Coturnix japonica: one gene and its partners. The protein of the gene in region 2 purifies or fractionates together with the protein of the main gene of each other region. This does not show direct contact. Links are inferred from orthologs where the notes say so. Each region holds a gene or a part of one and is shown on either strand. Other genes may lie near its edges.

The links.
Region 1: the proteins of SKI (region 2) and SIN3A purify together in Homo sapiens (affinity purification with western blotting; 3 studies listed by BioGRID and IntAct, with this or other methods). This does not show direct contact. The link is inferred for Coturnix japonica from reciprocal best matches to the Homo sapiens genes SKI and SIN3A.
Region 3: the proteins of SKI (region 2) and HDAC3 purify together in Homo sapiens (affinity purification with western blotting; 4 studies listed by BioGRID and IntAct, with this or other methods). This does not show direct contact. The link is inferred for Coturnix japonica from reciprocal best matches to the Homo sapiens genes SKI and HDAC3.

What each region holds. Positions count from the first base shown.
Region 1 is NC_029525.1:1,972,747-1,976,399, forward strand, and holds part of SIN3A (paired amphipathic helix protein Sin3a), read right to left. Parts: coding exon 3,612-3,653; intron 3,277-3,611; coding exon 3,118-3,276; intron 2,349-3,117; coding exon 2,259-2,348; intron 1,365-2,258; coding exon 1,246-1,364; intron 247-1,245; coding exon 36-246; intron 1-35. UniProt on the Homo sapiens protein: Acts as a transcriptional repressor. Corepressor for REST. Interacts with MXI1 to repress MYC responsive genes and antagonize MYC oncogenic activities. Also interacts with MXD1-MAX heterodimers to repress transcription by tethering SIN3A to DNA.
Region 2 is NC_029536.1:1,422,682-1,426,334, forward strand, and holds part of SKI (ski oncogene), read right to left. Parts: intron 2,818-3,653; coding exon 2,692-2,817; intron 2,191-2,691; coding exon 2,075-2,190; intron 1,605-2,074; coding exon 1,339-1,604; intron 655-1,338; coding exon 353-654; intron 1-352. UniProt on the Homo sapiens protein: May play a role in terminal differentiation of skeletal muscle cells but not in the determination of cells to the myogenic lineage. Functions as a repressor of TGF-beta signaling.
Region 3 is NC_029528.1:14,744,430-14,746,736, forward strand, and holds part of HDAC3 (histone deacetylase 3), read left to right. Parts: coding exon 1-90; intron 91-344; coding exon 345-425; intron 426-503; coding exon 504-577; intron 578-816; coding exon 817-881; intron 882-1,193; coding exon 1,194-1,283; intron 1,284-1,405; coding exon 1,406-1,464; intron 1,465-1,868; coding exon 1,869-1,948; intron 1,949-2,307. UniProt on the Homo sapiens protein: Histone deacetylase that catalyzes the deacetylation of lysine residues on the N-terminal part of the core histones (H2A, H2B, H3 and H4), and some other non-histone substrates.

The DNA of each region.
Region 1 (3,653 bases), on a different chromosome or scaffold from region 2:
AACCAAAAGGTGGATACATGAAAGGAGCTGCTTACCTCTTTACACAGTGGCGTCCGCCCCGTGCACTTGGGCTGCTGGTAGCTCTTGGGCAAGGCGCGGTAGCTGGAGCCCAGCCTTTTACAGGAGGCATAGTCTATCTCCATGGCAATCCCTTCAGTTGCCCGTTCCTTGGGATACGTCTCCATATGAACAGACTCCTTATAGCCCAGAAAGTTTTTAAACCAAGTGAACAGTTCGGGAAATTTCCTAGAAATAAAAGGAATGAAGTGAAAAAAAACCCATCCAGCTAAACAGGAAGCAGCATGCGGTGCTGAGCTGTGCTACTGAGGCTAGAAATGCTTGTAAGAGACACAGATGCCCAAGAAGACCCTCTGAAGCAGTTTGGTGTGAGGACCTCTCTGCTCAATCCCACTTGCACCAAGTGGGAACCAAGTTCCTGTTGGTCAGGTGGTGGACAGCTGCAGTGATATGAGAAATCGGGCCTGTTACTGGAATCACTGCTCATCTATTGCTTTCCTATTACACGACTGAAAGTAATGTCTGACTTCAGAGTAAGAGAACTGCAGGACACCTTTTCCAACACAGATATTCACCCTTCCAGCACAGGTGGAAAATGGAAGAAACCCAGGTTGTTGTTTATTTATGTTGAATATTTCACCTTTCCTAACCAAAACCAGCGTCCTGCTGATGCCTAATTCCAATGGAGCTGCAGAAAACATAAGTTCTTTGGGGTACTTGCCTTGCACAGCAACCAACATAATGGGGTCTCAAACCCAATTTACATTGCTGCTGCCCTCTGCCTAGGAACCAGGAGCTCAAATCACAGAAACAGTTGCCCCAAGCTGATGAGAGGATAATTATTAGTGATTTTTTGTGATTAATACAGACTCATTCTGTACAGTACTCGAAGTTATAATTTCTATTAAACAACAGTACTGATTATCAGGTTTGGCTTCAGGGCAGAACACAGTTGCTTTTTTGGTAATTTTAATGGCTTTGTATAAGCACTCCTTTATTTTTTAGGGGACATTTCCTATGTAATTGGACAGTTGAGCTTTTCTTGAGTGAAATAATCTATGGTTCCAGAGCATGAGGCCACAATAGCATGATGTGGACTAGTAATAATACAACGATAATACAAACTACACAGCCACAAAGGTTGGCATTTCATTCCCTGCTGCGCATCACCAACAGATGCACTGGATTTAGCTTCTCCCCTCACACAAAGAAGCAGGCTCCACTTACCCCAGGAAAGGGGAAACTAGCTGCACCAGCTCTGCACGGGATATCACCTCCTGGTTGAAAATAACCAGGCAGCGAAGGAAGTTTTCATATGCTTCTGTGCTTCGCAGAGCTTTGCGGACCTTGGGGAAGAAGAGGGGAAAGGGTTAAGGTGAGAGCAGCTCGTCCATCAGAACCCAGGAGGTTTGCATTCAACACTGTGCTTCCTCCACCTATGCAGGACTTTGTTGGAGAGGCTCCAAGGAGCCAGAAAGAAGAAGGAAGCCATCTCCTTGCTGTTACGCCTGCCACTCAAGTGCATTACCTTGAGATGAATGAAACTCCCAGCAGCTGGACCACAGACAAGCCCAGTTGTGCCTGCAGCACCATGGACCCACCTGGGTGGGGATCAAGGCTAAGAGACCCATGTCACAGTGAACACCCCTCCAGCCCCCCCACCACATTACAGCTCAAATCATCCCAGATGCAGCAAGCTCTGCAGCCCTCAGCACGAGAAAACAGTGCAATTCATTCCAACACCATTACTTTTCCCACGAGAACAGTTAGCATCTACACATCAAACAGATCTATCATTATTAAGGAATTCATCATTACAGTTACAGTTCTGCAGCAGGGATTTCTACGTTTACTCATGGGAACACCTACGCATCCTCCGAGTGATAGAGTGGTTCCCAGTCCCCACCAGCTGGTTTAGTGTGCTGAAAAACACACGTCAGCAAGGCTCTGATGCCAAGCCTTTCTCCCACAGAGCATCAGCAGCAGGTGAGAAGGTAAAGAATGACCCCCAGGGAAAACAAAAAGACACAGACGTCCGTGTAAAGAACACTACCAGTCTTTTATAAAATGCAGCAGATCTGACACAGAGGTCAGACAATACAGCTGAGGTCAAGTAGACCGATGTTATCAGCGTGGCATATATATCCCAGACCTCACTGTGACAAAGAAATCAGGATGTATGCAGGCTACAGGCATCAATCAGTGACACCAGAGCGTACTCTCTCAGTCTCACCGCTCACCTTCTCAAAGAACAGGGATTCTGTCCCCACACCATGCTTGCTGGCTTCTGCCAAGGACTGGTCTTTTAAACCAAGCAGCTTTGGTTTCTTCTGTTAAGAAATAACACAGAAAAGGGCTGTTCAGCAGAGGAAGTCACTGTATTTTGACCACGTATCACGCAAGGGCTTCAGCCTCCAAACCACACCACTTGTTCTCAAACATAAGAGGGGCTTTTTCAGAAGGAAACTTGTTTAAAACGTGGCCTCCACGTTAACCTATTCATCTTCAATTAGTTGCACAGAACACCTTGTATTTTTAATACAAGGTGATATCTTTTCCTCTAACAAGTTGACTGAAACAATCACTGCTTGTAGTATCTCAGTTTCTAACTAGTGTGCAGGATTATCAGGACATTTTTAAACCATCATCAATCATTCAGTTGACTCTTACACCTCCCTAAAAGCAGTGAACTTCTACCTCCTGTACTCCACAAAGGCTTAAAGCTGCCTCCGAACAGGTTTTAATTGGCTGCATTTTGAGGAGAAAAGCTGGAAGGGGAAGAAAGTCACTGGATTTAAATGATACAGCTGGATGTGCCAATACTTTTCTTCCCCACACAAGACATAGCACACAAAGCAAGCACACTTGTCCTAGTGCAGAGGCTCTAAACCCACCAGACCATTCTTCTGACACAGCTAAGCCTTGCGCTCTCAAAATGTGAGTAAGCTGAAGAGGGCAAACTCAGCTGCAGGAATCATCATTTATTGCTGCACGACAACATTTATCACATGAAAAATGAATAAGCCTGATTCTGCTCTAAGTTTTGCTTTAGTTTCCTGGGAAACACAAAGCTGCTGAGCTAGAAGCACGTGCCATTACCTTCACTGGAGGGGTTGTCCCCGCACCCGAGTGCCGCCGGATCTGACAGCCGTTCTGGTTGGGTCTTTGCTGCTTGTTGTTGAGCTGTGGCTTCTTTACTGTGCCACCGTGATCATTTCTCACTGACTCCACCTTCTCTGCAGTCGTCTTGCTTAACAGCTTAGTTACAAACAAAGGCACAAGACCATCAGAGCCGAGCTTTACCTCCTCAGCCAAACACTAGTACGCCTGCTCCTCCCAGCTCTAGGTGACCAAACTACCTTACTATGGTTATGGAAGCCTTAGAACAACCCTTCCAAGCAAAGGAATTGTATTGAAAAGACTAGTTATTGACAGAAAACAGTCTATCATCCTGACCCATCTCCTAAACTCCATAAAATATGACCACTCCAACAATGAAAGACAAGAAAAGCCTGTTGTTCTGAGCACTGGCTCCCTATATGAGCACTTCCCCACTAAGTACTCCAGCCCCAGCCTGCCTCAAATAGACTCACCACTGAGCTGTTGGCATCTGGCAGAAACTGCCCAAACTCTGA
Region 2 (3,653 bases):
TTAAACTATAAGTAAAAGCTCCAAAATGACGGAGACGTTTCAGTGAAATTAAAGTCAAATAAACTGTGCTGGGATAGAAGGATTTTTTTTCAGTAAAGGAAAAATGTTGATTTTGGTAACCATGGATTTATCCTCTAAAGCAAAAACAGGTGGCAAGCTTGAAAAAAAAGAAAAAAAGAATGGTTCCTGTATAGTTTGGTTTCCCAGCTGAATTTACAAACCCTTCTCCAGTAAAGGCTGTTGCTATTTGGGAAAAATGAGGCAATTCTTTCTAACATGAGACAACTTAATGGTTTCTATCTGGAAGAGCATCTGCAGACAGTGATAAGAGAAAGCTATTCTTCAACATTACCTGATGTAGGCTGCGTTTGGCTTGCAAGGCAGCATTTAGCTTCTCTTCCTGCTTCACTCTCATTTTAACAACTTCATGGAGGAATTTTTCTTTGGCTTCTTTTGTATCTAGGCCACTGTCCAGGGCCTGCCTTAGGTGCTCCAGCTCAGCTTCCAACCCACTGCTGTGAGAGTCAGAATGTGCTGCAACCTCATATGAACTGTTGACTGGGACTGGGGCTTGCATCCCAGGTGAGCTCATGTCCTTTGCAGAGCTGGATGAAGTAAAGGATGGGGAGGAGAGCGAGGATAAGGAGGAGGTGACTGAAAAATAGAAACATCTAAAATTAATAAAAAAAAAATAATGTAGAAAACAAATGTAACTCAAAATATGTTGAGCCCCATTTCTAAAGAGGAGACAGTCAATAATTAATGAAAAAAATGGAAGAAAGAAAATACTCGTTTTATACTTTGAGGCTTGAAGTGTGATGAGAATGCAAACCTGAGTAACTCAGAGGACCAACTTATTGCTTGAATTGTGACTTTGTCTTACATCACAGCTCTATGTGATCCTGGCTTTTTCAGTGGGTAGAACCTGTTCCTTTGCCAAAACTGCACACAGGTTTGGACTGAACATACTGAGATCAGCAGCAGGATTCTCTAAAGGATGTTTTGGGAAGGGAACAGCTCTATCTTCATCTTTCACTGAGGGGCCCAAGACGCCAATACTGTCTAAGAACATTCTGAATCCTGATCCCTGCCTTATACATTCAGCTGCATGGCTGTAGCTCTGAAACTACAACTGCACTCTCAGGCTGAACACATGGGCTACATGTTCATACCCCACAAAGGCTTTGCTGTTTAGTTATGAACTTTTCATTATTACCAAAGGCTGTATCTTAATGTGCCATTGAGGTATCAGGCCTCCAGAATCATATTTGAATACAACAGAGTTCAGTAGCTAACTGCTGGGGGTTAGAGCACAAATAAAGGCAGATCTACACTTACATTCCTCCCTGGTCTCTACTTCAATTTCTGCTTCTGATTCCTTATCCTCTTCAGGGGCAGTAACAGTGGCCACTGGCTCTGGGACAGCCGGGGTCTCTGCAGCATGTTTTCTTTTCCGTGGCTGTGCAGTGCTGCTTGGTGGTTCGCTGCTCCGGGACACCACTGTGGCACAGGGTGGGTTGCTCACAACTTTCTGTTGGGCAGGAGGTGCGAGTGCCACATTGGGAGCCACTGCATTCTCAAAGCTTTTGTAGGAGTAAAAACTGCTTGAGAGGAGGGAGCAGAAGGAAGGAGAAAACAGTCATATTCTTGGACTTGAAAACGCTTCCCAATCCATCTAATTACACTGAAAATGATGGAGGTTTAGGTATTTTTTCCCCAACTTTGGGTGCCTGAAGGCCTCCTCTGACACCTTTAAACACCCTGAGAGTTTCTGCTAACTGTTCCCCCAAATTATCTGCACTTCATGGAAGCAGCCACCATTTCAGACTCTTACAGCACATTTCACCCAAATGCCCACTTAACAAACATATTTAATGAATGCACGCAATGCCAGTAATATTTTTTGTTTCCTTCCTGCTAACTAAAACACTGCAACTGCAAATACTTTTTATTCCAATACTAGTGAACTGATCAACTAACAAACAGTGCAAGGCAACAAACATAAAGCAACTTGCTCGCCAATTATTCTCCACAGTTGCCAGCCCCATTCCTCCCTCAGCAGCCACCTCCTTACCTGTCTCGGATCAATGCAGGAAGATGGGTTGAGAGCTCTTTCTCGTTTGCTGATACAGCAGGGGACCAGGGCCGGAAAGCTGAGAGACGCTGACGGGGATGGACACAGCCAATACTCTGGGAAGGAGGAGAAGGAAAAGTAAGTACAAACAATCTTTAAAAAGTATTAATCCCAACAGAGCACTAATAGTTCTGTTAAGTATGTGTTCTCTTATCTCTAAAGCTGCTCCCCCACTGGCTAAGGCCTATTGGCTTAGCGGGTTCCACTAGAAGAGGTAACTCCACCAATGTGAAACCCCACGTTCTCTTTTCTTTGCCAGCAAGTTATCCGTGGTTTGCACAGACCACGTGAGGCTCCTGAGTTTCAGGATTCTTGTACCTCAAAGGCACGAAGGAATTGCTTACTCCATCATCACAATCAAGGTCAGTGAACACTGGAAGATGGCAAGGGAATTGGGAGGACCGCATAGCTCAATGCTTGCTAGGAAAAGGATAGAAATGTGATTAATTTAGAAAGCCTGGGCAAGGTCTTTCTCACATTAACTCCTCTGGTTTTAGTAGAGGGATGTTACACGGTCATTTGATCTCTCTTTTAATTACAGAATACTCAGCAATCACCTTATTAGACGAACTGGATAAGGACCGTAACCAACTGGACTGCTTTTCCTTCTCGGTAGAAGCTGGAGATTGGGAAGCAGAGTCGTCTAATTTGGTTTTCTTGGAAGCAGGAGGATCTGAAGGGACCTGAAGTAAAGACAGAAGAAATCAAAGACAGTTACTCATTTTGCAATCAGCTTAGAAATGAGATATGAAGCAAAGGCAAGTTTTGTATCTGAAACTAAGAAACATCACTTTTTGCCTACATTTTTAACTCTTAGGAACAACAAAGGAGTGCAAACATGGGGCAGGCACAAATTACAACACAACGTGGTTTCATTCCTCCATTTAAAGCACCCAGGTAAAGTGTAGGTGGTGCAGGAGTGACAGGCAGAAATGTAAGTGAGACATTCACACCATGTTGCAAAGAAGTATCTGCCTTTTATTATTTTTGTATGCAGAAAGGTAAATTTTAATGTGGTTGCTGAACTGGAAAGATTATTTTAAACGAGAACAGAACAGACTTTGTTATTCTGTTTGCAGTGGTTGTTATGCCGATGACTTCACTACCCCACAGCTGCAGTGGATTCTGGGGGTGCTGCCAAGAGCTGCTTTGCCTTTTCCACAAGTGGCTCAGCTTGGCCCATAAATCATCCCCAAGCATAAGAAAGCCCTTTGGCAAGCAAAGCCCCTTTCCTTCAACACTGTGAAGGAATAAAATTCCTATAGTCCCACAGCGGCTTGCAAAAAAATTGGTAACTACTGGTTTAACTGGTGCACTGGGGACACCAGCTTGAAGCCTTGCCAGTACAAACTCGTCTGCCGGCAAGGAGGGAGAAGGTTCTGGACCCTGCTGTGCACCATGGCTACAAATAAGGAGAGCAGCACGTTGCCTCGGCTTCTCTTCCATCTTCTCATCCTCCTTTTTGCAGTTCTGAACTCACCACATTTCCATGTGGTTCTAATTGAGGTGGCAGAACCAA
Region 3 (2,307 bases), on a different chromosome or scaffold from region 2:
GAGATGGCGTGCAGGAAGCTTTCTACTTGACAGACCGTGTCATGACCGTGTCGTTTCATAAATATGGCAACTATTTCTTTCCTGGTACAGGTATGTAGCTTTCTTTGCTGTGTGAACTTGGCCTTGTTTCAGAGTCCTTCAAAAGTGCTGCTGGTGTTTAGGGGTCTAAAATGATTATAGAACTACAGGGACAAATGTTGGAAGGAGGGGCATGGAGAAGCAGCTAGAGAGGAACAGAACTATAATTCTTTGTAGTAAAGAGATTGTAGCTGGGTTAACAGACCAGATCTGGCCTTCTGGCTCCTCTTAGGGCTGTTGTGACTCTTCTGTCTTTCCTTGGCCAGGGGACATGTATGAAGTTGGTGCGGAGAGCGGTCGTTATTATTGTCTCAACGTGCCTCTACGAGATGGTATCGATGACCAAAGTAAGTTGGTGTCCCTTGCCCAAATGTTCTTTGATCCTTTTCTCCAGAGCCATGACAAACTTATTTTTCTCCCCAAAGGTTATAAACACCTCTTCCAACCAGTCATTAACCAGGTGGTAGATTACTATCAGCCCACCTGCATCGTATTGCAGGTAAGGAAATAAGCCTTTGTGCACATGCACGTTCTTGTCAGTGGCTGTAGTTCGAAGGGCCATTTCTCAAACATGTTACTTTCTGTTCCTGGGAGGTCAGGGTTGGTGTGACCCATCTGAACTGCTGGCTGAAATCACCTTTGCTGAATGCAGTTGGCAGAGGGGTAGGGATGCCAATGTGTGTCTGGAAATCAATGCCTATCTAGCCAAAATTCAATTGTTCTTTTTCTCTTCCCCAGTGTGGTGCGGATTCTCTGGGTTGTGACCGTTTGGGCTGCTTTAACCTCAGTATAAGAGGACATGGGTAAGTACAGCAGGGTTGGGACACAGCAAAAGGACTGCAGGTGGTCCTGCATTGTAAGACCTGAGCTTTGACTTTGGCCTTCCAGCTGCACCAACTTTGCTTTAAACTGCTGTGTGACAGAGACTCTCATAATGGGGCTTTGTAGAAAAGCAGTAGTTCACAGAGTAGCACATGGTTCAGGACCTGAGTAGGAGCCCTGAGCCCCATGTTTGTCACACCAGCCGTGGTGGTGAATGAACACACAGTGAAACTTTGGGCATGTGAATGTGTGCTGCAGGTAGCAGCTCTGATGTGTTTCTTTGGGGTTTCTAGGGAGTGTGTGGAGTACGTAAAGAGTTTCAACATCCCCTTACTGGTGCTGGGAGGAGGCGGTTACACAGTCCGCAATGTGGCACGGTGCTGGTGAGTCTTATGGGCCTGTTGTATATTTGATGAGGCATTTGCTGTGGGCTTTGTCCCTACATGCACCCTGTTGCTTTCTCTGGACTGAGCTCATCTTAATCTGGTTTTTGGTTTTTTTTCAGGACTTACGAAACATCGTTGCTTGTAGATGAAGCAATTAGTGAGGAGCTCCCATATAGTGGTAAGTTCAGGTTCCCTTGTTTTCCTTATTAGTTGAGCTAAAGCAGTTGTATCAGCATAAGACTTAGCACTTCATTCTGTGTTGACCAGGGCCAAAGAGACAACACTTTTTAACCTTACTTAGTCCTGATTCCCTTCCATCTCCCCTTTGTAGGCTTATCTGATGCAGTAAGGATGTGTCTGCTCAGCATTTTGTTTGGATCACTTCAATGACTCGAGCATTACTTCTGCTGACTCTCATTTCATGTAATTTTTTGCAGTTGCAGAGTTGTACATCACTGTGGTTTATAGGGTCTGGTTACCTCTAGCAAGGTGGGAGGGTGAGCTCTGCTTCCCTACAGAGCTCTGCATCTGCTGACTGACTCCTTTGCCCTCCTGCTTTAAATCCTGCTCATGCTTTCACAGAGTACTTTGAATACTTCGCTCCAGATTTCACTCTTCATCCTGACGTCAGTACAAGGATAGAAAATCAGAACTCCAGGCAGGTGAGTGCCTGCATGTCTGGCCCCAGAACCTTGTGGTAGATGCTCTATCCTGCAAAATGAGATGGAGCCCAGGCTAGGAATTGTGGCTGCAGAAAGCTGATAGAGAAAAGCAAATACATTTGCTCTGGCACAACAGAAAGTCTCAAAGGGTCTATAATATTTCTGAACTCTGCTGGATTGTCCTACTTTTTTCTGAGTGCTGGAGCCTCAGTGATTGAATTAACTTTCCCATCTCTTCTGCTCTGCTGAATAGCTTTCTGCACAAAGGCATTTCTCATGGCCACCACACAGATGATGTAGGCAGGCAGTAGAGCTGACTGTTGTGGCTCTGAGTGAAGCATCAGATCTGCTGGTGACGA